Oreochromis niloticus: one gene and its partners. The protein of the gene in region 1 binds, or shares a complex with, the protein of each later gene. Links are inferred from orthologs where the notes say so. Each region holds a gene or a part of one and is shown in the gene's direction. Other genes may lie near its edges. The genes, in order: tbc1d23, fam91a1 and stx16.

The links.
Region 2: the proteins of tbc1d23 (region 1) and fam91a1 are in contact, whole or in part, in a crystal structure (PDB 8JJ9), measured with the Homo sapiens proteins. The link is inferred for Oreochromis niloticus from reciprocal best matches to the Homo sapiens genes TBC1D23 and FAM91A1. Residues at the interface, in NP_001186127.1 of Homo sapiens: Arg533, His534, Val535, Ser536, Ser537, Asp539, Val541, Gly542, Lys543, Pro544, Tyr545, Arg546, Val548, Pro550, Val551, Phe552; in NP_659400.3 of Homo sapiens: Arg49, Glu60, Arg61, Tyr64, Asp84, Ile85, Lys88, Gly89, Leu90, Arg91, Ile92, Thr93, Phe95, Ser96, Ile159, Pro161, Tyr176, Ile177, Thr178, Glu179, Asp181, Ile182, Lys190, Asp194, Ile197, Asp198, Tyr216, Asn217, Lys218, Gly219.
Region 3: the proteins of tbc1d23 (region 1) and stx16 are in contact, whole or in part, in a crystal structure (PDB 8QQF), measured with the Homo sapiens proteins. The link is inferred for Oreochromis niloticus from reciprocal best matches to the Homo sapiens genes TBC1D23 and STX16. Residues at the interface, in NP_001186127.1 of Homo sapiens: Leu638, Asn639, Ser640, Val641, Val642, Lys643, Ile644, Thr645, Ser646, Lys647, Lys648, Ser661, Ser662, Ala663, Ile666, Thr683, Lys687, Ile690, Met691; in NP_001001433.1 of Homo sapiens: Asp209, Asp210, Asn211, Thr212, Leu213, Tyr214, His215, Arg216, Phe218, Thr219, Glu220.

The regions. Positions count from the first base shown.
Region 1 is NC_031980.2:37,092,919-37,100,409, forward strand, and holds the start of tbc1d23 (TBC1 domain family member 23), read left to right. Parts: upstream 1-4,416; 5' UTR 4,417-4,532; coding exon 4,533-4,570; intron 4,571-6,144; coding exon 6,145-6,256; intron 6,257-7,491. Other genes in the region: tomm70a (mitochondrial import receptor subunit TOM70), read left to right, coding at 317-414, 508-630, 2,048-2,201. UniProt on the Homo sapiens protein: Putative Rab GTPase-activating protein which plays a role in vesicular trafficking. Involved in endosome-to-Golgi trafficking.
Region 2 is NC_031985.2:21,449,184-21,456,455, forward strand, and holds the start of fam91a1 (protein FAM91A1), read left to right. Parts: upstream 1-4,181; 5' UTR 4,182-4,426; coding exon 4,427-4,498; intron 4,499-5,620; coding exon 5,621-5,705; intron 5,706-6,502; coding exon 6,503-6,654; intron 6,655-7,272. UniProt on the Homo sapiens protein: As component of the WDR11 complex acts together with TBC1D23 to facilitate the golgin-mediated capture of vesicles generated using AP-1.
Region 3 is NC_031970.2:24,759,328-24,767,349, reverse strand, and holds the start of stx16 (syntaxin-16), read left to right. Parts: upstream 1-4,988; 5' UTR 4,989-5,353; coding exon 5,354-5,479; intron 5,480-8,022. Other genes in the region: dgkab (diacylglycerol kinase, alpha b), read right to left, coding at 71-215, 498-574, 1,823-1,908. UniProt on the Homo sapiens protein: SNARE involved in vesicular transport from the late endosomes to the trans-Golgi network.

The DNA.
Region 1 (7,491 bases):
AAGAGACTGTAGTGTTACATTAACACATGAAATAGTAATACCATGTGTTTCTGTTCTGTTTTAATACTTATTTGCAGTCTTCTTTTTTTTTTTTGTCTGTAATACTTTATAGTAACAAAACTGCTTATCTTGATTTGGCCAACTCCTCACGATATGTATTCAAAATACCCATAAATCCTTACCATTTCCCAGATTTGTATGGAAATGTGGTTAATATGTGCAGTGATTTATTTTTAGTGAAAGCATTATAATCCTATTGGGATGGTATTTATGCCTGGCTGGCACGTTTTTACCAGTCCTCCTGTGTACTTCTCAGGCTTTGACTGATCAGCAGCAATTTGGAAAAGCCGATGAGATGTACGACAAGTGTATTGAACTGGAACCAGACAATGCTACAACATATGTCCACAAGGGGTAAGGGTTTCTCCCCTGTTATGTGGCCATATTGATCCATATAATATCTGATTTGTTTGTGTAAATGTGACATGTTGTTCACTCTGTCTCCAGTTTGTTGCAGCTTCAGTGGAAACAGGATCTCGACTTGGGTCTCGACCTCATCAGTAAGGCAATTGAGATCGACAACAAATGTGACTTTGCCTATGAAACCATGGGAACCATTGAAGTTCAAAGGTGAGTCACACAGTATCTGAGTGTTTATTCCCAGGGAGGATTTATCTGCTGCTTTGTAATGTTTTCAGTTGTACAAAGATAAAAATGGTAGCATGCTGGTATTTCTGTCAAGATGTTTTAGGGAGTCACATAGTGTGCTTTTTTTCTTCTTTATAAAACACTAATTGAGAGAAAGCAGTCAGCTGCTGTGCTGTGTGCTTTTGTGTTGCCCCTAAAGGAATATATTTGTACCATTTTGAACAGGCTGGTTGAAGTGTTACAAACCTCATGTTTGAGGTTTAAGGATCTGATTCTGACTTCAGGTGTGACAGAATCCTGGGGCTGGATGAGCCCTTGTTAATGTTATGACCCCTGGATCAACAGAGGGAAAGGAGGAATAGGAAATATTGTAATCCTGTAACCCGTCTCCTGCAGAGGGACTTGACTCTGTCTCAATCTAGACTTGCCCGTGGTGAGAGGCTGTGGGCTGGGGTGGGTATCTTAGTATCCCCTCAACTTGCTGCCTGTAAATTGGGCTTTTCTCGATTGACAAGAGGGGTTTTTTTCCCCCCTGAACCTTTGGGTCAGGGAATGGGTGCTGACTGTCATCTGCACTCACCTGAACAACAGTTCAGTGTATCCGGCCTTCTTCAAGCCCCTGGGGACTCTGTCATCTTACTGACAGACTTCAACGCTCATGTGGGTAACAACAGTGAGAGGGGCTGAGCTGTCAACTGATCACCACCTGGTGGTGAGTTGGATCATGTGATGGGGGAGGATGCTGGACAGACCTGACGTGCCTAATGTTATAGTGAGGGTGTGCTGGGAATGCCTGACAGAGGCCCCGGTCTGCGAGATCTTTAACTCCCATCTCCGGCAGAGCTTCAGCAGCAGTCTGAAAGAGACAGGAACAGACTGAGAGCGCCTCTATTGCTGAAGCTGCTGTACTAAGCTCTGGGTGCCTGTCGTGGGGCGTCTGGCCCATTGCTAGGAGCCATTCGATCTTTATACAATTGTTGCAAGAGCTTGGTGTGCATAGCTGACAATTTAGACGAACTCATTCTCGGTGGGTGTTAGACTCCACCACGGCTGCCCTTTGTCACTGATTCTGTTCATGATTTTATGGACAGAATTTCTAGGTGTAGCCAAGTGAAGGAAGGCTTCCACTTGGGCGGCCTCAGAATCTCATCTCTGCTTTTCTTAGATGATGTGGTTCTGTTGGCTTTAGCAGGTGGTGGCCTCCACCTCGCACTGCAGCAGTTCACAGCCGAGTGTGAAGTTGCAGCTCCCAAAAGAATGATTCCTCCAAGAACTTAATACTCTGATGACTGCAATGGAAACACATAGTCCCTGGGAAAAAATCCCTGTGGTGGTAAAAATGATCAAATCTACACATTTTTCGAGTGCTTGGTATAACTGGAGTGTTTTCTTTTCACAGGGGCAATCTTGACAAGGCGATAGAGATGTTCAACAAAGCAATTAACCTAGCGAAGTCAGAGATGGAGATGGCCCACTTATACTCGTTATGTGATGCCGCCTACGCCCAGACAGAAGTGGCGAGGAAGTACGGGCTGAAACCTCCGACGCTGTAACCGTTTTGCCAATGGATCGCCAATCTCAGTCTTCATTGCTGAATCTAACTGTGTTAAAAGTGCAACTGTCTGACTTAACTTTGATTTGTTAAAAAAATAAATACTGGATGATATGGGGGGAATTTAAAAAAAGAAAAAAAGGAAGAACCCTGAATATATACTGTGTTTACGTCACATTAAAGGGGATTATTTTCATGCAAACCGGATTCGTACTCACAGTCAAACTGAGGCTATGATCGTGGTCTCTGGTAGACTCAGTGGTTTATCATGATGTGGGCTGGGCTGGGCTGGGGGTGGGTGGGGGGTATTTTAACGAACACCGCCCTTTTTGCTGACACTTAATTCCACAATGGCATCATCGTCAAATCTTTGATTTTTATGGCTCAGAATGAAAATAAAGGTTGTCATTTATGGAGGGAAAGTGTACATGAGTGAGATGTATACTTGTCAGAAGATTTAGAGAGAATTGAAATGTCCAGTCTGTTGAACCCACAAGCGTTTTGAGACACTTTTAAATCTACAGACAATACTGTGAGAGCTATATAGTTCCAGTGGACTGTTCACTTGTTAATTTATGCTGGTCTAAAGTGTTTTTGTCCACCTACTCCCATATTGTAACATACAGTATCAGTTCTGAATGCAAGATTAAAATTATAGTCAAATGTACAATGTCTGTATTGAAATGCTGGAGTTGATCCCGGGATAAAAGCCTACAGAGTTTAGGCAAAGTTGGTCTTTTTTTTTCTTTTGTTTTAAATGGTGGGATTGCCTGTTTTCTTTTTTATATACTTTGTGCAGCATGTTCACTTTATAAATAAATGTAAATGCAATGCTCGTGCTGTCTTGAACACTAGGAAAACCCTTTTTCAGGCTTTTGGTTTTTTTGAAAACACTGATTAGACAAACTTAGCCAACTTTGTTTTTAGTTTTTTTCTTCTTCTTTTTTTTAAATGTTGTATTTGGAGTTGCCTCTAGTGTCAGAACGGTATTCAGTGGTTTTTCCCCAGCTCATGTTAATTGGGAAACCTGATTCTTTTTCTAGTTTCTGTGAATTTTTTTTCTTCATGCTACATTTCCTTTTACTTTTGACAGAATATTTTACATAGTGGTTTAATTCTAATTTGCTTTTTTCATCTCTCCTTTTCAAACAACCCGAGCCTTATCGTCTCCAGCCTATGCAGCTCTGAGAATCTCTTGGTACGGTGTGTGGTTTGGTTCTCAAGTAGCATCTGTGCACCACTGATGATTGTACATCTGGAGCATTTTTTTTTTTTTAAAAAGCATTGAAAAGCTCCCGTTCTCTGTGACATTCATTAGTTTCACGCCCAGTAAACTATCACTGCATGTGTGGTGATGCCAAGGAACCAAATCATGCATTGTGAGCTGCAGCTGGTGAGACTGACTCCAACTAAAACCATATTTACTTAACCTTCAGAACATGGATGTGACCTAGATTTTGGCTGTTTGATATAAAATACACTGACATTCTGCATCTACCATACGTGTGGTGACCAAAGTGAAAGAGAATGAGTCCTAATAAAGTTATAATTCTTGGATTGAATTTTGCATCTGATCATTTCTGTTCACCCGGATTGTGCAGCACATTGTTTTTAAATCCCTGTAGTTAGAAACGAAATTTTGTTCTGATTATCTGAAACTTTGATATAATTTTACAGTTTTTCTGATTTTCTTGCTAAGTAGCACACGTAAGTATTAAAGATATGTCTATTGAACAGACTTTATAGGGTGATTTCATAGCATTTCCTAAAAGGCCTCACACCTGACCTTCCCAGATTTCTTAAATAGGAATTTTGCAAACTTTCAAGCCCCTACTGTGAGGAATTTTATGAAGATAGGGCTGATTTTAGATCTTTTTCTGAGGGGCCATTTTAAAATCGCTAATCTATAAAAAACACTTAAGCGTGACCTTACAGGTGCTTTAGGATAAATCTCCTGCACCATAAATATGAATATGGACTCTTGGGACTAAGTAACTAAGTAATTAATTACTTTTGAAAATAAGTAATCAGTAAAGTAACGGGATTACTTTTTGGGGGAAGTAATCAGTAATTAGTAACTGATTACTTTTTTCAAGTAACTTGACCAACACTGGAAGTCAGCACATGTTGATGATGTTTTCTGTTTTTCTCTGTTTGTTGATCAATTATTAACTTTTTAGCGCCCCAAATCAAAGCAAACAAGTAGTTGTCTCATCAGTTTCTTAGTCGCACTTTGATTTCACTTGTCAATCTCGGTTCCTCGTTGTTCGTTGACGTCACCGCGCATACCGGGCGTGTTGACGACATCTGACGTGTCTCCGTCAACACAACAATGGCGGATGCCGTGGAGGAAGCTCTTCAGGGCAGCTGGTGAGACAATTTGTTGTTGAGTTAATATTTCCGGAGCCTTTGTCTCGATTGTCAGACAATCGCGTCGAATTTTTGTCACAGATTTCCGTGTAAAGTAACTAAAGATGAGTTTTTGTGCTCTAAATAGTGTTGGAGTTTGGTGACGTTACTGCTTACCAGCTAGCCAGCTAAATGACAATTAGCTAACCCGGCTCTGATAAATTAACGGTCGATAAATCTCAGACAGATAAAATAACAGCTTTTAAGTCTGTTCGGTGACGAAGTCTACATTTTTGTCGGTTTCTCTACCTCAGTGGGAAGTTTAGTAGCAAAGGATGTTAGCCGGACAGCTAATATTTAGGCGGACAGCCGCTTCCCTTTAATCTACTCCAGCCTCACTCTGTTGTTCAAAATTTATTTTACACTGAAATATTGAAAAGTGCTGGTTATATCTAAACACTTTTAAAGCAGCTGCCATTAAGATGGTTAGCATCGTGAAAGCGGTCTTCATGTGTCAGATTAAAGGACAAACCTGAACTATGGACCTCCTGCAGAGAGGGCTCTGTTGGTGCGTGTCCATTCAGATCTATCGTGAAATGTTTCTACTTTGTTAAGAAAGATCTCTTCTGTGACACTGCCATTTGTCATAGTGCACAAGGGGTCACTGAGGAGTTCCATGAGTATATATGTGTATATATACAGTCATCGGAGATTTTGAACAAATGCGTTAGACACTGTTCTTTTCCGCCTTCATCAAAACGCCAGATGAGGAAATATCTAAAAATGGTGTTCATCTCTTTAGAGATTTGGAGAACCAACACACAGATTCACAGGGAAGCTGTCCTGACCTGATGTTGCTTTTTATGATGTTGCTGTATTGTTTTCCTCTTGAGTTTGTCACCTGTCTGTATGCTGAGTTAAATTAACATGGGTTTAAAAAAAGATTAAGATGTAAATTAAGAGCAATAAACAACACAGGGCATTTAGTAAAAGCTGACATAATTTACATAATTACACAGATGTGAATAATGATTGAGTTAAATATGAATTTAACAATAATGCATGTTGTTAACCCTGTTGCCTCACAGCAAGAAAGTCATGGATTTGAATCCACCATCTGCCCGGGGTCTTTCTTTGTGTTTGCATGTTCTCTGTGTCTGTCTGAGTTACTACTCTCGCTTCAACAGTTAGGTTAACTGCTGATTCTAAAGGTGTAAATATGTGTGTGAATGGTTGTCTAATGTCTTTGTTAGCCTTGCGACAAACTAGCGACCTGTCCATTGTGTACCCCACTTCTTGCTCTATAACAACTGGGATACACTGCAGCCCCCTCAGGAAGATGGATGTATGGATGTATGAAGATGGATGGGCAGTACAACACAATTTTGAAGACTGGCAGTTTTGTCGTTTATAGTGGTATTATTAGTAATAATATTGTTTCTGCATCAGTGAGCCTTTGTATGGGTTTACTCTGAATCTTGGCATAATAATTTACCTTAAAATGAACTCTTCAAATCTCATGTTTTGTTTTCAGCCTATGAACTTTTCTCTTTATATTTTGTGGGATTGTAACTGTGCCGTTCGTTGCTCTTCAGGGACCAGGACCTCGTTGACGCACTTGACTCTGGTGGCTCAGACATGGAGATGGAGAGGGGCACCATCCAGGTCCAGGAGCAGTCAGCTGAACACAGGGCAAAGATGTGGAAGGTGAGAAAGTTGCAGCTGTTAGATTGTGGTTTCAAACAGTTCTTAGACATGTACAACATACTTTGTACGTCTATGGACAGAAGCCAAGAATTCTTACGTTAAGGTGTGAGTAGACTGGATCATCTCTTATTGGCACACCCAAAGAAAAGACTTCACTTATGTCTTACATCACATAACAAGAGTCAGTATTGTATGTCAAGCATGTGGATGACAATAATGATGCTACTTATAGGTTACTGGTGACTGACTCGTCTTGGCTTTGCATGCAAAATACCAGCCTGTGAAAAGACACGTTATCGGCTACACCCAATTGTAAAGCAGCTTTGAATGGGATGTTTATTGTGTCTGATAATAGGCTGTTTGATAATATCATTAGGAGACCTTATCTTTTAGTCACTGTGTAAAGTTCAGAGAGCCTTTAATTTTACACCTCATAAAATTGAATAATTTGGTTTATTAAAAAAAGTTCAAATAATGCTTAAATTAATCAAACAAAAAAGTACAAAGGTGTTTATCAGTGCAGGAGAGCAGATATAAGATTTCTTTTTTCACTTTAGGAAAACCTTAAAAATGAGAATAATGTAGGTGCAGTTTCTGTTGTTTGTGTCAAATTCTGAAAACATTCTGACCTAAAAGTAAAAAATTTGCACTTTGCTTTCATTTTCAGATTCTTCAATTGCTCCATTAATCATCATATAAATCATAGACTGTAAACTGAAATTCACTTGGGGCCACATGTGAAATGACAAAAAATATCATGGGCCAGACATTTACATTTTATTGATATGTTATATAATTGTTTATTTATTTATATTTAAAGCTAAGCACTCCGTTTACCAAAACAAAGTAATGGATTCTGATTTTAAACAACCTGTTTCACAAGCCTGAATATAACAACTCTGTGGAGTGGGCATCTGTTTTGTGATAGCACATCTAAGCCAAAATTCCTAGACCTCCTCCTCACCAGTCACTTTCTTTAGCTCCTCTGGGAGTCCTGGGTCTGCCTGAGGGTCATCTCCTAGTTGGACATGCCTAAAACCGATGACATGTCCAGGAGGTATCCTGCTCAGATGCCCAGATTACCTCAAAAGGCTCCCTTAGAGCAGTCGGCCGTCAAAAAGAAGAAAGCTCATTTCTACCATTTGTATCTGCAGTCTCATTCTGATCATAGGTGAGAGTGGGAATGCAGATTGACCAGTTAATCAACTACATTCCCTTCATTGTCAGGTTTCTCT
Region 2 (7,272 bases), on another chromosome or scaffold:
AAGCATTACCCAGAGAGAAAATGGGTAGTGACTCAGGGAAGGGTTTCCAGTTAGGCGCTGTGGAGATTGCCATGAGGCCACTGTGTACATTCCTACAGCTAAGAATAGTATCCTGGGCCACTGTGACTCCAGCCGGGCCTCTCATGTGACACAGCGCTGTTTGGTACCCAGCTGCCAGCTTAACAACTCAGCCAGGGTCCAGCGGAGGGAGTGTTTACAATAGCCGCAGGAAGGGGAACCATCACAGGGTCCTGACTCAGCCATTGTTCCCACCCAGGCTGGTCTTTCATCAAAGTGTCCCCGAGCTGCTAAACCTTGTCCATCTTCTAGTGCCGTCCAAGTTCATCCCTCCTCCTCCTCTTCCCCCTTCCTCATGTGTGTAACCCAGGATGTAGTCAAATATAGAAAGGTGCTGATGGGTCACTTTGATCAGGAGAAACAGCTGTAAGAACTGGGCTCAGTTTTATAGGTGTGGTGGTGTTTCTGTTTGTGTCCATGAACGTGCACAACTGGACGTGACCACTGTTGCTATTAATCACCTGTTTGACAGTTAACTCGTTGCACTGTGTGTGTCAAATCATCAAGAAGTATTTGCCATACCTTTAAAAGTTGAGCAACCAAACGTGGGGCACAGGTACATTTTAGGCCCATGGAGGTCCACATTTATATCAGATATCATGATGTCATCATGTTGCCAGGTTGCTTGGCAACATGATGGCTAAAATGACTCATTACCGGCATTTATGCACCTGTAACACCTTATAAAAGCGTCATATAATTTTTATTTCGCATCAGTAACATCTAATTTCTATCCAAAAAAGCTGAATTATGTGTAATGATGTCATTATGTTGCCTGACAACCACATAGCAACTGGCCAAAACGACCCATTATTAGCAGTTATGTATCTCTAACAGCTTATAAAAGCGTCATATAATTTTTATTTCACATCAGTATCATCTAATTTCTATCCACAAAAGTTTAATTATGCATAATGAGTATAAAATGATGCAAAAAAATGCAGGCTACCTGTTTTGTAGCATTTGTGCACCTGTAGCACCTTATGAAACCATTCTTTCTTCTTTTTAATTTCATGACAGTACATAACTTACATCCAAAAAAGCTGAACTACATGCCTGGCAATCACCTAGCAACGGGCTACAGTCACTCATTTTTAGTACATAAACATCTGCCAGCCTATTTTTGAAAAACAGACCAAAAACTACTAGGATCAGCATTTACTACTTTCAAAAATACATGCAAATTTAAAAGGACGTAATACATTACAGAGAAGTGTTTTGTTGATAGCGATCGGTGACTCTGAAAGTTGAGGCCTGGACCTCAGTGCATTAGCAGGAGGAGAGTTAACTGTGAGGCTCATAAAATTACAAGCAGTTTATTAGTTAATCACTTTTTGTGACTCCCCCGTGTGTACTCAGAGTGTGAGTGAGTCTTACAATAATAAGTACTGTCTCTAGAGGAATTACATGATCAGTACATAAAGAATAGCTGTTGTAAGAAATTTAAAAAATTGATTATTAGACATTATTTTATTAATAAAACAAGCTGCTGCTGCTGTGAGAAGACATCATGTCAGATGGTTTGAAATGTAAATAAAGTTGACAGCTTGTTTCCTTTCCTTTTTATTATTTACATTAAACACACGCAGAGGAGTAAAGCTCAGGGTTACAGAAGGTCTGATCGCTGTTCACAAAGCAAATATGTCCTCTGCAGCTCACAGCAGTAATCAGGTTAGGTATTTATTTTAAGGTGAGTCATTGTTTGCTGTTGCATGGCTACAGCAGATCATACTTAGGCTTCCCCTTGCTGTTAAATCCCACTTTAACCCCTGCACATTAAAGCCTTGAGACTATGGAGAACTTTAACAGTATATTTTTAAAAATGTATATTTAATTAAAAAAAAGGAAACACTATTCTTCCACCTCTATGCTTCTAGTTTAGAAACAATGTGTGTTTTCACAGCTTTTATATCATACTGTAGCCTTAGATGAGGTGTTTCACAAGCAGACAACGCTTTATTTTAAGAGATCACACGCCAAAGAAGGCTGGGGAACACTGTTACAGAAATAGGCTGCAAAGATTTCCTTTCCTTCAGAGATCAGATTGAGCCTGTTGTGATATTTTTTCAAATCAATCTTGTGTGACTTTACAGAGACATTTAAACCTTCTTTTCCTTATATTATCTGTGAGCTATAATGTCATGAGGATTCTCAATCTGCAGCCCCTTTCTGCACTCCATGGAGTTATGCCGGTTGTCTGCCAGGGAGATGAATTACTGTCATGTTTGCTTAGCGGCATATGACAGGGAACTGAAGTTACGTGCAGGCAGATTGAATGACATAGCTGCAAGAAAGTGAGCTGTCAGCAAGCCAGATATCATGACCCAAGAGCAGAAGCCACTTTGGTGTTGCAGTGAAATCTTACACTGAATCACCAGTCACTAAGTGATAGTTTCATGCTTACAGGTCGGATTCCTGTAAGAACAAAACTGCAAATCAAACAAAAAACAACTCGTAAAAACTCCAGGTCAAGGTGCAGGGACAGATTTATGATTTTCTATTTTTAGTTAATCATACCGGTTTCAAACCTGAATTTTGCTTTTGTTTCTGCTGCTGAATAATGATCACATTAACCACTCACTGAAATATTGAAATATACTGTATATATTTTCTGACCAGAATGAAGATATGATAACAGACCTACTGGGACAGAAGGTATATTATCACACTAAGGGCTTTTTTATGGTGTGAAAATGAGAGAAAGACAGATTGGAGGACCTAAAAAATGAATGAATTTCTTTTCCAAAACGTAGTCCAGGTGATAGAAGTGTTTTAATAGATCATTTTGGCTTTGCACTTTTATGTCTCACAGGGAAACGATGGCAGCATTTCCAGCTACTTAACCTAATTATAACGCCCTGTGTTAAAGATGACTGTGTAGTTAAACCACCAATCCAGAGTTGTGCAGATGCAAACCTGACAGTTTGCATGTAGAACATGCAGGTAGAACAGGAGATTAAATGAGATAATTTATGTTTTTAACCAAATTTATCTGCAAGTATTGCACTGTGTTTTATTGTATTGTCTTTCTGTGAAGCTATAGTTGGTCATAAGTGGGACGATGATACTATGACAACATGTTGCCCACAGTTTGTGAATGTGAATGTTTGATACACAGGGGAGACTTGTAGAAAAAAGTGTTATGAGTACTGAAATTGGTTAGAAATAATATAAATGTATATGTACCAGACCATTTATCAACACCTATAGTATTGTTATATGCTACATCAAAATATCTGTGTCTGTGTGTATTATCATAATTTTTATATTTCAGTAATGCCCCCCCCCCCCCCCCCCCCCCCCCCCCCCCCCCCCCCCCAAGCTAACAAAGAGGAAGCAATAATAAGATACTGCTGTATCAATATTATGCCCCACACTAAATGCAAATACTCACAGTGTGAGTGTGAAAAATATGCTCATAGCCTACAGACATATATAATATTTACTCCAGTTTGTGCAGGATTCCAAAAACTTGCAGAGCCCTGCAGGTTTAGACTATTCCTTAGACTTTTCCCTCAAACAAAAGAATATATTTTCTGCATCATCAGTGATATGGACGGGCTCTGGGGGATGGAGGCCCATCCAAAAATGTCACTGTGCCTCTCAGCTGATTTTTTCTGACACTAAAGTCATATGGTTTAGTCATGAAAATTTTAACACATGTTATCGTAGTAACAACAAAGTAACAACAAAGCCCATGTTAATTATTTGGTTATTATTATTATTTGGTTATTATTGTCTCTGTGGAACTAAGAAGGTTATTGCTTTAAAGCTTTAAAGCACTGCTTTAAAGACAGCTTGAGCATGACCTCAAATGAGACTTATTAAAACAAATTATGTTATGCTGCACTCCCCAGTCAAAGTGGCCCATCCAGTCAGTCAGACACGGCCCTGACTCTCTGGTTTTAAAGCTTCACGTCTTCATTAGGAATAAAACAGGCTGCTGTGGGGGTGGAAAATGCTCCACGAGTGCTAAAAATGCTAAAAAATTAATAATGCAGTAATAATCGCACTTTAAGGATAAACCATTGATTCGGACGGCGCTAACATCATCTCTCATTTGAAACCCCGCTCTCTCCAGCTCCATTCAGCTCCACGGTCACTCCTTAACAGGAAGTGACGAAAGTAGCCACGAGCGTGACGAACGGCTCTTTCGAAAATACAACAAGGAAGTTACGGTTTATTGTGAAGGAAAATAATCGCTGGAGAAAAAAAATCTCCTAAAACCGGGGGTCCCTTCGCTCGGTTGCTGGGTGTCCGGGGGGGACGAGGTCACCGTGGACTTTCCCGAGAGCCCGTTTCCGATCGTCTCGAGGAATTCTGCTTGTAGCCAGCTAGCTAGCTAGCGATGAACACGGACGTGGAATTTCACATCAGGCAGAATTACCCGTGGAACAAGCTCCCAGCTAACGTCAAACAGGTACCGACTTCTAACGTTTCCTGTGGGTACGGAGAGAGGGGGGACACCGCAAGGGGAACCTGTCAATGTCACCGGGGCTGCTCTCTGTCATACTGGCAGCTGTCAGTGTCGCACTGCTCGCTCCCCGTCCTCTGCAGGGGCTTCACCATCCAGCCGGAGCCATAACTGACCATCATTACACTCCAGCTACTGAAGCCACACTGGCATCACATGACAGTTTGTTTGATTGGGTGGGGGTGGGGGGCACCACATGATTTTAGAGCGTGTATGGCACCCGCACATACGGCTTTTACGTAGTTGTGCCTGGTGCATTTAATGCTATTGAAATGTGCTGTTACAGTTAGTCAGTAAAATGCATGACCCCCCTTCTCTTCTTGTGCCACTACGCCAACATGTCTCGGTGAAGAGGAGGTGGGTGGATGAGCTGTTTGAGCTGCTGCATCCTCATGCACCCTCTGAAAAGTTGGATTACTCATCAGAAACAGTGAGACTCCAGGGGCCCCTGGTGTACACATCTGGCCTGATGTGCACAATATAACAAGTTTTCTCTCTCTCAAAACAGCTTCAGATACAATATTGAGCTTATGCCCCAATTCCATTGTTAATTTTTATTTAATTTAAAATATCTTTGCTCATTTTTTGTGTGAGTTAACATGAATCCAGGGGCTACCGTGGCTCTAAAACCTGTGGATTACATCATGACTTTGACACATAAACTGTTCAGTGAGGATCAGACAGGTTATTGCTGATATCTGATCTGCTTAAGGTCATTATTGGTCCAATACCAACCGGTGTATTGGCCTTGTAAGTAACTAGAAGTATGCTGTAGGCTGTAGGTATGCGCTACCAAAGCGCAAAATCAAGCTCAAGATGATGCTTCTTGTTTTATTACCTGCCTCCTAGCCTGTGTCAAATTCAAATCCCTCATTGCATCTTTGCAATTAATATGGTTTCACACGTTTCTCAACACATATGACATCACATCTAATAGCAGCAAATATTCCAGTATGGAAAAATATTTCACAGACAGCTGGAGAACAGGAGGTTTAAAAGAGGCACTGTTTGGTTTCACCCCCTGGCACATTAATGTGGTCTCACCTGTTCATTTTCCTTTCTCTGCAGAGTTTGGGGAACTCTCAGCGCGAGTATGAGAAGCAAGTGCTCCTGTACAGCATCCGCAACCAGCTGCGATTCCGCAATAACCTAGGTGAGCAATATTACCCCCCCCCACACACAGCAGTGGTAAACATACAGTGTGAGCGACATGATGTTTGAGTGTTAGATTAAAAGACAGACAGCGGTTTGTGGCAGGATAAATATAACCCCACCAGAGAGTGCTTGATGATGGGCAAAAACTTTCTCACCATACCACCTTGCAGAGAAACATACCCTAGTGCCATTTTATCATTGCAGTAAGACTTCTGATTTTATAAAAGTCTATGGGAAAACAGCACTAAGCTTCATGGCTCTGTGACCTCAGTAAACACTTCTCTGATGGAACTGTAATCCCACTCTCTGCTTTCAAAGCAAATTCAGCAAAACACAATGTTTATTTTGTAAATTATGGTCATAATTAGGAGGATAAACCAGGGCACGGCTATTGGATCCTGCTTGTCAGTTAGCGAGTGAGCATGCAGTGTCCTCTGGTTCCCAGTTAGAACTAACTTTCACTCATTATGTCAGGTTTCAAAAAAAGTTACAGCAAAAACAGTAAGCTCAAGGGTTAAAAATGGGACTTCACTCACCTGTGGGTGATGTCTTATTAGCTCTGTCCATGTTTTGTTCTGCCTTTGGTGTTGATCATAGGATTATCCTTCATATTTGTCCTGAAAAGGTAATATACAACTGAAAATACTTGTACTGTTAATAATCATACAGTGGCTAAACATGTGTATGTACCTGTATAATAAAGTGCATTATGTATTACATCGAATCACTTTAGTGATGTTGATGTTGAGATCATTTCTGTATGTGCACTCTGACTGCTGTTTGTTTTCTGAGCAGTGCGCCATGTGAGGAAGGATGAGCGCAAATATTATGAGGAGCTTCTGAAGTACAGCCGGGACCACCTGATGCTGTACCCCTACCACCTGTCTGACATCATGGTCAAAGGGCTACGAGTCACTCCGTTCTCGTATTACATAGGAATCATGGAGGTAAGCAACTCATGCTGCGTTGAAGAGTGCAATACCAGAGCATTAACTTTGCTCCCATTATCATAATCTCTGTGAACAGCCTCTCGTACACCTGAACATCTGTCGTTCTGTCAGTTCCCGTTGGTTTTAGAACAATGAGGCAGGTAAACCCAGAAGAACAGAGCAGACATACTTATTGTTCAACGGCAAAGGTTTTCTTATTGACTGAAAACATGCAGTCTCTGCTCATTTAAAATGAACAATGTCTTCAGTTTTTGGCATCCCTGGGAATGAGTGCAGGAACTGCAGGGACAAAACAAGGAATCCAAAAGACCAATACAAGTAGAGGGATCTGAGCTTTTCACAGCTCCCAGCTGTTTAGTTCAATGTGCTTTTGTTGCATGAATAGTACGAGTATACGGCATTGTTTGGTACACCTGAGTAGATGTGCTGGATTATTATGGTCAGCCTGCATAAAGGATAAATGGGTGTATTGTCATTGGCTACAATGATTGTGTGTTAGTTCATTTTTAACCTAAAAGGTAAGATTGAGGACGTCATAAGACATTGTGTAGCTTTAGAGAATAATATGCTATGTTTCCTATGTTCCCCAGATCTGGCATCAGTCAGGCACTAGGT
Region 3 (8,022 bases), on another chromosome or scaffold:
TTTTCCCCTAAACTCTGTGCTGCACAGTTTTGTTAAAAGACAACAAAGTCAGAACATAAAAAGTCTTCACCTTCTTTGGGCTGAGGGCTCTTCGAGGAGCCGTTTTGCTCCACGTTTTGGAAATAACGAAAAAGCCGCTGGCAGAAATCTGCAGGGAAGTCCTCCACTTCTAAGTAGGTCTTGAGAAAGAGACAGAAGCCCTCGGCATCGACGCACTGAAGAGAGAAGTTGAAGTTATTTCCAAATGACGCAAAAGGATAAAACATTTACATTCATAGCGACAATCTGACTATGATTTTTAGAAAATGCCATAAAAAAGTGGTAGAAAGCTTCCTAAAAAGATTGTCTGTTTTTAATCAAGCACATTGAGAGGTACAACAAACTTTTACAACTAATAAGAAATATTAATAAATTCATGTTTGATTTGTTTGTAATAAGTAGTGTATTAGGAACATTTGACATGGGAAATATAGTATATGATTGCCTAAAAAAGTTACCTCTCCAAAGCTGTGCTTAGAGAACCGACCGCCTGGATGAAACTCCTTAATCACATCTTTCACCCTCAAATTGCTCTCTGCAGGGAGAAGATCAGAGTGGTCAAAACGTAGCTGTAGATGTGGATACACTGTGACTATCAGCCATTAAATCTGGGTTTGGGCCTTGCAGTGTGAGGTAATGCACACACAGCACCTTTCCCAGGTCTGGAGAGGAGCAAGTGTAATTATCCATTCATCCATTATCCAGCGTGCAAACACTAAAAGCCTACAGACCCATTTCATTTCTTCTAAAGCCTTTGAGTGGACAGTGGATTATTTTCAGCCCTTTAGCGCACACTTTTTTTGTCAACATGTGCATGTCATTCTGCGTTCGCTCCAGCCCCAGCAGAGGGACAGCATGCACTTATGTTTGGGAGTTGCTGCTTGTGATTTGGGGTGGATGCTGAATGAGTAGCATTAAAGTAAGGCAGTGATCCCGACTGCAATTTTAACAGAAATATTTCCGCCTACATGCAGGAGCAGAGTGCACAGGTGTTGCAGCCTTAGATCTACGAAGTTAACTTTTCATATTTTTGTTGGACTTTGCCTGTGACACTCCCGTCTCCACTTATCTTGCTTATGTTTCACTGCCTCCATAAATTGTTCTGAAGACTTCCAGTATTTATTCTCACATCGTCTAGTGCTCAGATATTTAATTCATTAAAAAGGAGTGAAACAAAAGTGTAAAATAAAGTAAAAATTACACTTTTTTGTAAATGTGTGACTTGGTTTCCAGTGTCTGTGTGTTAGGGTTGAGATTAGATGGAAGACAGTTACACAGATCGAGAGCAGAGCTATCATAGCCACATCTGGCCAGTTCATCCTCAGAAAAGTGAAAGCTGAATTCAGTGTACATGGATGGGTTTTTTTTTTAAATAGATTTACAGTCATAAACTGACACTGCGAAATAAATGGCATATTGAGCTACTGCTGCTTTATTAATTTAACAGGGAAATTTGCCAGAGTATTGAGTTACACTGCATTTTATTAGTGAGAATGCACTTGAGACTTGCGTGGCTCTAATTACAGTTTGAATGCACACATTGTTTTAATATTCTGTCCTGGACGCTGTCGTCTTTGGCCTCAGTAATCACTCACTGCTTTAGTTTTATGTCTTTGATACATACACAATAGTGTATCTTGTGTGCATCAAGTGCTTGGTGTAAAGGGATTTGTATATACATTTTTAATCTGTAATAAACATGTCAACTTTATTATTATTATGATTATTATTCCAGTTTATTTTACTTACAGGTTAAAAAACAATGTAGAAAATGGAAACTTACCTTCCATGTAGTGCTGCAGCTGGATAAAATCCACAGGAGTCAGAGACCCTTCTGTATCATCAGAGGAGGCCATCCCGGTCAGCTGCCTGAAGAATGAGAGAACAATGACTGGACATTCACAGAGGTGTCGATAACACAGGCAGCACCGAGATACAGCACTAACCCGGCCATTGAGACTGCAGAAACTAGGAGGCAGCCATACATGTAACATGTTTTACGTCATGTTCTGTGTTTTGTGTCAGCAGAACTGGTTTGCCTTCATTCCTGGGACTGCCACAAAGGAGCATTTCTTAACGGATACCAATCTACCAAAAACTTGCTATTAAAACAACATTGCTCAACTGACCACTGCTGATTTCCAGGAAAGAGTAGTTAAAATCAGATCGTATCACCCTGTAAACATAGAGAATGGGGAAAAGTTTGGGATGAATAGCTGAGAAGTAACAATTAATAACATAAAGAGCTTCAGATTGTGACTACTGTCGATCAACTGCCAGCAGCAGAGAAGTGGAGGAGTAGATGTAACACTGGCCTGTAGATTTTCTGGTTGTGCAGGTGTGCCTGTCCGGCTAAAACCACTTTTTAACTTCCCATCAGTTTAATGAGCAAAGCAGCAATTAAGACCCATTTTAAAAGGGGGCATCCATCAAACAGGATTATAATGTGAAGCCAGGACGTCAGACAGGCTGACACACACACCAACACACACAAAGACACACATATACATAATATTTTAACTTGTTCCGCTCTCGAAATGCTGCACAGGTGCTCGGACAGGAGGAGGAGTGCTCGTGAACTCTAACAGGCTTCTTACCTTGACTCTCTCTCCTCGGACGGAGGGTGGGGAAAAAAGAAGCGAATAAAGTCTCTCGGGGCTTCTCCAGCAGCACACACCGCTGCTATGCTGTTTGACGGCAGCTGGTAGTTGTGGGTGAATGTCTACTGCGGTATTAGCGGATAAGGGATTAAGAATGGGCGGAGGAGGAGCTTTTAGCGACATAATTACAAATAGTGGCACCGCCTAGCGCGTGCGCGCACAGAAAGGCGCACGCGCGCACACTCGTTAGCGCTATTGTACCCTTACAGGTCAACACATCTAAATACTGCGGCTGTCAGGCTGGAAGTTAGAAAGTAGCGGAATGCATGAGCAGGTGTGAATGAATGAAAACTCAGAGTACAAACCGGTGAAGCGGCTTTCACGTGTCGTTTTTTAGTTTAGTCCCACTTGTGCGTGGACTGTTCACAGTATGTTTTCCACCCTGAATGTTCTTTTGACTTTTTGTTGTAAATCATGACTTCTGGTGCAAAACATGACTTTTTATCGTAAATCGGGACCTCTCACATGTGGACATTATGCCACAGACAGACGTTGGTGGGGTCGAGAGATCTTTTTATTGAGGGGGCAGCTGTTAAACTGTTAAATGTTCTTGGTTTAAATGGTGTTCTTTTTTCTTTGGTGTTACCAGTGGGTTTTGGAGTCAATGCCAATATTTAGAAAATAATAAAATCCTTATACATATATGAACTCACACTAATACAAGGCAGGATGGATCCATGCTTTCAGATTATTTACACCAAATTTTGACCATACCATGTCTGGATTCCTAAGTGTATTGAGTTGTTGCCATGTGATTGCATGATTACATATTTGCTTAAAAGAGTAGCAGTGCAGTGAATGGGCGAGTATATAAGTTTATATATTTATATTTATTATATTTATACATATTGTTAAAGTGTTAAAGTGAAAAGATGACAGGGGCATTGTTTTCAGATTCTATCAATGAATTTCACAGTGCTAGTTATTTTGAGTGAAGATGCCTCCCCACCACCACGTTATTGGTTGATGCTATTCTGCTACATGTACTGCAGAAACTGCTGAAATTATTGTAAACAGTAAGACAGAGCCCATCTACTGGGGAAACAAATTACACAAGTTATTACACAATTTATAAAGAAATCTCAAGCATTTTTCACAATGTGCACTGTAAAAGAGTACTTGACAAATATCAGTCATTCTGAAATATCAGCCCTGCTCTGATTGACTCAAAGGTTGGTACAGACACTCATGGTACCTCAGGATGAATTAAACAGGTGCCCTCATGAAGCCAACAAAATAAAGTTGCGTGGTTCTTTTCAGGTGCAAACTGAGGAAAATCTGTGCCTTGGTAGCATCATGATGCATAACACTCTACTCTGTATAAACATATGTAAATCTCCACGTAAGCACATTTCCAGTATTTCTCCTTTTCAGTCTAAAAAAAAAGCTCAATTTTAAATGAATACGTTGGGGGAAAGACTTTACTCGAGGCATTTAGAAATTCCCTAAAAAAATTGCCTAATGTGTGGGTAAGGGAAAAGCCACATTAAATTTAAACTTTAAATCCAATTCTTGTTTTTGAAAGCCGGATAAGGAGGTGTAACACCCTGTTTTCTATGTTGCTTTCATTCTTGATAGAAAACAATAAGTTTCTAGATTTTTGAAAGCTTGAACACCAACAACTCGGATTTCCTACTTGGAAAGTCAGAGCAGCCTTGGCAACCCTAATTTAACAATCCAAGATGAAAGATGAAAGTAAATAGTTGTAAAACTGTAAAACCTTTAATCTGTACTGCCAGTCTTGTGTATTTGTCATATGCCAAGCATTGTCCTGGCTGTATCCAAGTATATGCTGCAGTATAATGCTGCTGATACCTGAATGACTCTCCTCGCCCCAGAAGGCTGGTGCCTTTCAGGCAGCCAACTTGGTTTTCTTTTCGTTTGCATGTGTCATAGTTTTTCCTATTTTAAGTCTATAGGTTAGCACCTAGCTTTCTTTTGTTCATCTTCTCTCAGATTATGATTAATAAATTGGCTCAGTAAAAATTTTTAATTTGTGGCAGTCTCTTTTTTGTTATGTCTTCAATGAGCCCGGTATAAGACTGCTAAACCTTGTGCTTCAGGGAGGCCGCTATGTTACAGCTAGGCTGTTATGTCTCCTAATGTAAACTCACTGAATTTACAACCAGTTTTCAAGTGCTTTTGTTTGGTTTTTATTTCCAATTTCCCTAACAGGTTTTGGACCTCCTGGTGCCGCCCTGGAAACGCTTCTGTCTGATGTTCTCAGCTGAAGCGGTAGGTGGCGTAGACTCACTTCCGTTACAGATGATAGCGCAGTTAATGAGCAGAAGAAGAATTGGTTTACGCAGATGTTTACGTTCTCCTACTTCCGTAGCTACCTAAAGCGGAGTAACAACGTTACCAGTCTGACGCTAAAGCGGACATTTCACCAGAAAGTCTCGGTCATGTTTAGTTTTCTTTACCTCAGTATTAGAGCGAGTTAGCGGATCAACATGATTCAGGCCGTGTGCCTCCCGCTGTAGGCGCTGCATCGCGAGTTTTCCTCACCATTCATCGCAGGCAAAGCAAAGCAAAGCTAAAGCTAGCGCCGTGTTAGCAGCGGGTCAGAGGCAGTTGGCTCAATTTAATAAAGCATCTTTCGATCCGCAGTTTGTCCCCTTGTTAATTTAGATTATCACGCAGTCAAGGCAGTCATGGCCACTAGGCGTCTGACAGATGCCTTCTTGTTAATGCGGAACAATGCAATCCAAAACCGGCAGATATTGGCTGAGCAAGTGAGTACATACGACCCCCGTCTGAGTACACGTAGCAATGCTGCGGTGAGTGGTCTGCATCGTTTTGACATTTTACTGTGTGTGTTTGCATATAGCCAGTCACCGATCCCTGTTAGCTAGATCCAGCTGTGTGATAGCTGCTGTTAGTTATTATCCTGAACGACCTCCACGACGTTAGTGTTTCAGTGGTTCGCAGTGATGTGACTCAGTGAGGCGATGATGGAGGAGGATGAAGAAGTGTTGCAGGCATGCTTTTAGCTAGTTAAATGTCTATAACCGCCCTTTTTAAATGACAAGAATATTTATATATATATATATATATATATATATATATATATATATATATATATATAATTAGGTCAAGGTTAACTGAGGGTTATGGTTGATTTCATTTTCTTAGCATCCTCTCGTGCGCCTCACTGTAAAAAAACAATACAAAAAACTGCTGTGGCCTTTCAAAAGTCCGCATCATACTGAGTCGTGACCTGTAAATGATCTAGAGTGCAGCTGATTCTCTTCTGCAGTTATTAAAAAAATAAATACAATAGTTTGAAAAGCAAAGGCAATGAAAATGCTCTTAAAGCTTCCTAGAAAATGTTTGTCACTGAGAAATATTATCTATACTTTAATTATTACACTATATGGACAGAAGTACTGGGCCACCCACCCACATATTACATTCTCAGTAGTTTTTATAACACCCCATTCTAAATTGATTGCTACACTTTTCCATTTCAACACGTGGACTCTTTGCCCATTTAAGCAGAAGGCCACTTGTGCCATCTGACGCTGATGTTGGTTGCTTGCAGTCTCTCTTCTAGTTCAGTGTGCTCTGTGTAGGTGGACGAGTGAGGTTCTTCCTCACCAAACTCATCCAACCATGCTTTGTGCACTAGAGCACAGTCATACTGAAACAGAATATGAACTTTATCATGGTGCACAATTCTAAACTTCCAGCTTCCGATTTTTTTATTAACTGATAAGCTGGAGCATTCAGATTTCCCTTCTCTGGAAGTAAGAGTTCAGGGCCAAAGCTCATAAAAGCAATGATTAAGAAGTGTGGCCAGATACTTTTGTCTATATAATGCAGTTATAATGAAAAGCAAGTGGGCTTTTTAGTGATCATGATACAAGAAGAATATAGTTATATGTTCCTCTATAGCAGAGCTGTTCTTTCTGATAGTGATTTCCATGACACTGAATAATGATTTAGTTTCTTTTTTTCTAAAAACAGCAGCCACTGCATGGAGCTCATTGCTGGAGAGCTAAAACATTAAATGCTGGCATGTTTTTTTTGACTAGCAGTGATTAAAAAAAAAAAAGACTGTATTTAATGTTGATGCAAAAAAACAAACAAACTGAAATTAAAAATTCTTCCATGACCTACTTATATTTTTAGGTTAAACTCCACCGCAGTAAAAAGTCATTACTTTCCCTGACACAGTTTTGAAGCTTCTTAAAGCGGGCAGGTGTATGCTACACGTGAATATTCACACTCTGCTGTGAACATTTTATCATGCTACCGGCTCGCTGGTGTAGATTAGTTTCTTCCCGCTGGAAGCCCAGAGATCACGGTTAACACATTCTGCATTTGTTTGGGGAAAATTTTTAGTAACAAAACCGACCTTTGTTACTTAGCTGCCACTCCCCGTGGCACCGAGCGAAGTGGAAATGCTGATCTCTCAGTAACACAAGTGATTTCTTCAGGCACATCTAGAGAGTGGAGCCCTTTAAATGGCTGTTGCTCCTGGAACAACACTACCTCTCTGTAAGAGTGTCCTGTTTGGGTTTAGATCAGGAGCAACAGGGAGCAAGCTCAGAGTGAGGAAGATGGAAGCATTGCTGTGGCTTCATTTTTTTGGAGGGTGATTCATGCCTAATAGGGCACATGGCTTGTCATACGCTGTCTGTTATTTTTCCTTCCAAGAACCAAAAAAAAAAGATTACTCAGTCAGTTCTTGGCATTTTGTTTCATCTACAGAACAGCTGGTGTTAAAAAGCCCAGAAATTTGGCTTTGGATAGTTACACTCCCGAAATGTGTTGGGTCATACACTGATAAAGATTTTTTGAAATATTAATTCCTTATTAATTTTCTGCTTGAAAAAATCTCTTCGTCCAAGCACAGTGTAGAACCAGAGTAGAGAAAAGGCTCACACGTGGAAACACTCCAGCCCAATCACTTTGCTGTCAGCTGTCAGAAAAACATGTCAGCATTAACGAAAGGCATTGTTAAGCTCTGATGCACAAGATTCCAGGGGAATAGAAAATTTAATGCTGGTTCTCAACTGGAACGGTTCCCATCCCAACCCTACCTCCTCTGCATGCCTGCACACCTGTTTTTTGACTTTATCTCTGTACCCATCATCTCTTCTCAGATAGATTTAGTTCGCTGTTAACCATTCACAGTGAAAATGTCGTAATGAGCATTTTACTCAGCAGGATATTAGCTGCCAGTGAAGAACGGAATAGAAATTTACAGACAATCTCTTGTGACCGAATGAGCGTCTTCTCAATATCTGTTCAAATTTTTTAGTCTCTTCTTCAATGAAACTGCTCCAACCGCTTTATCCGATATGTGTCTGAAATG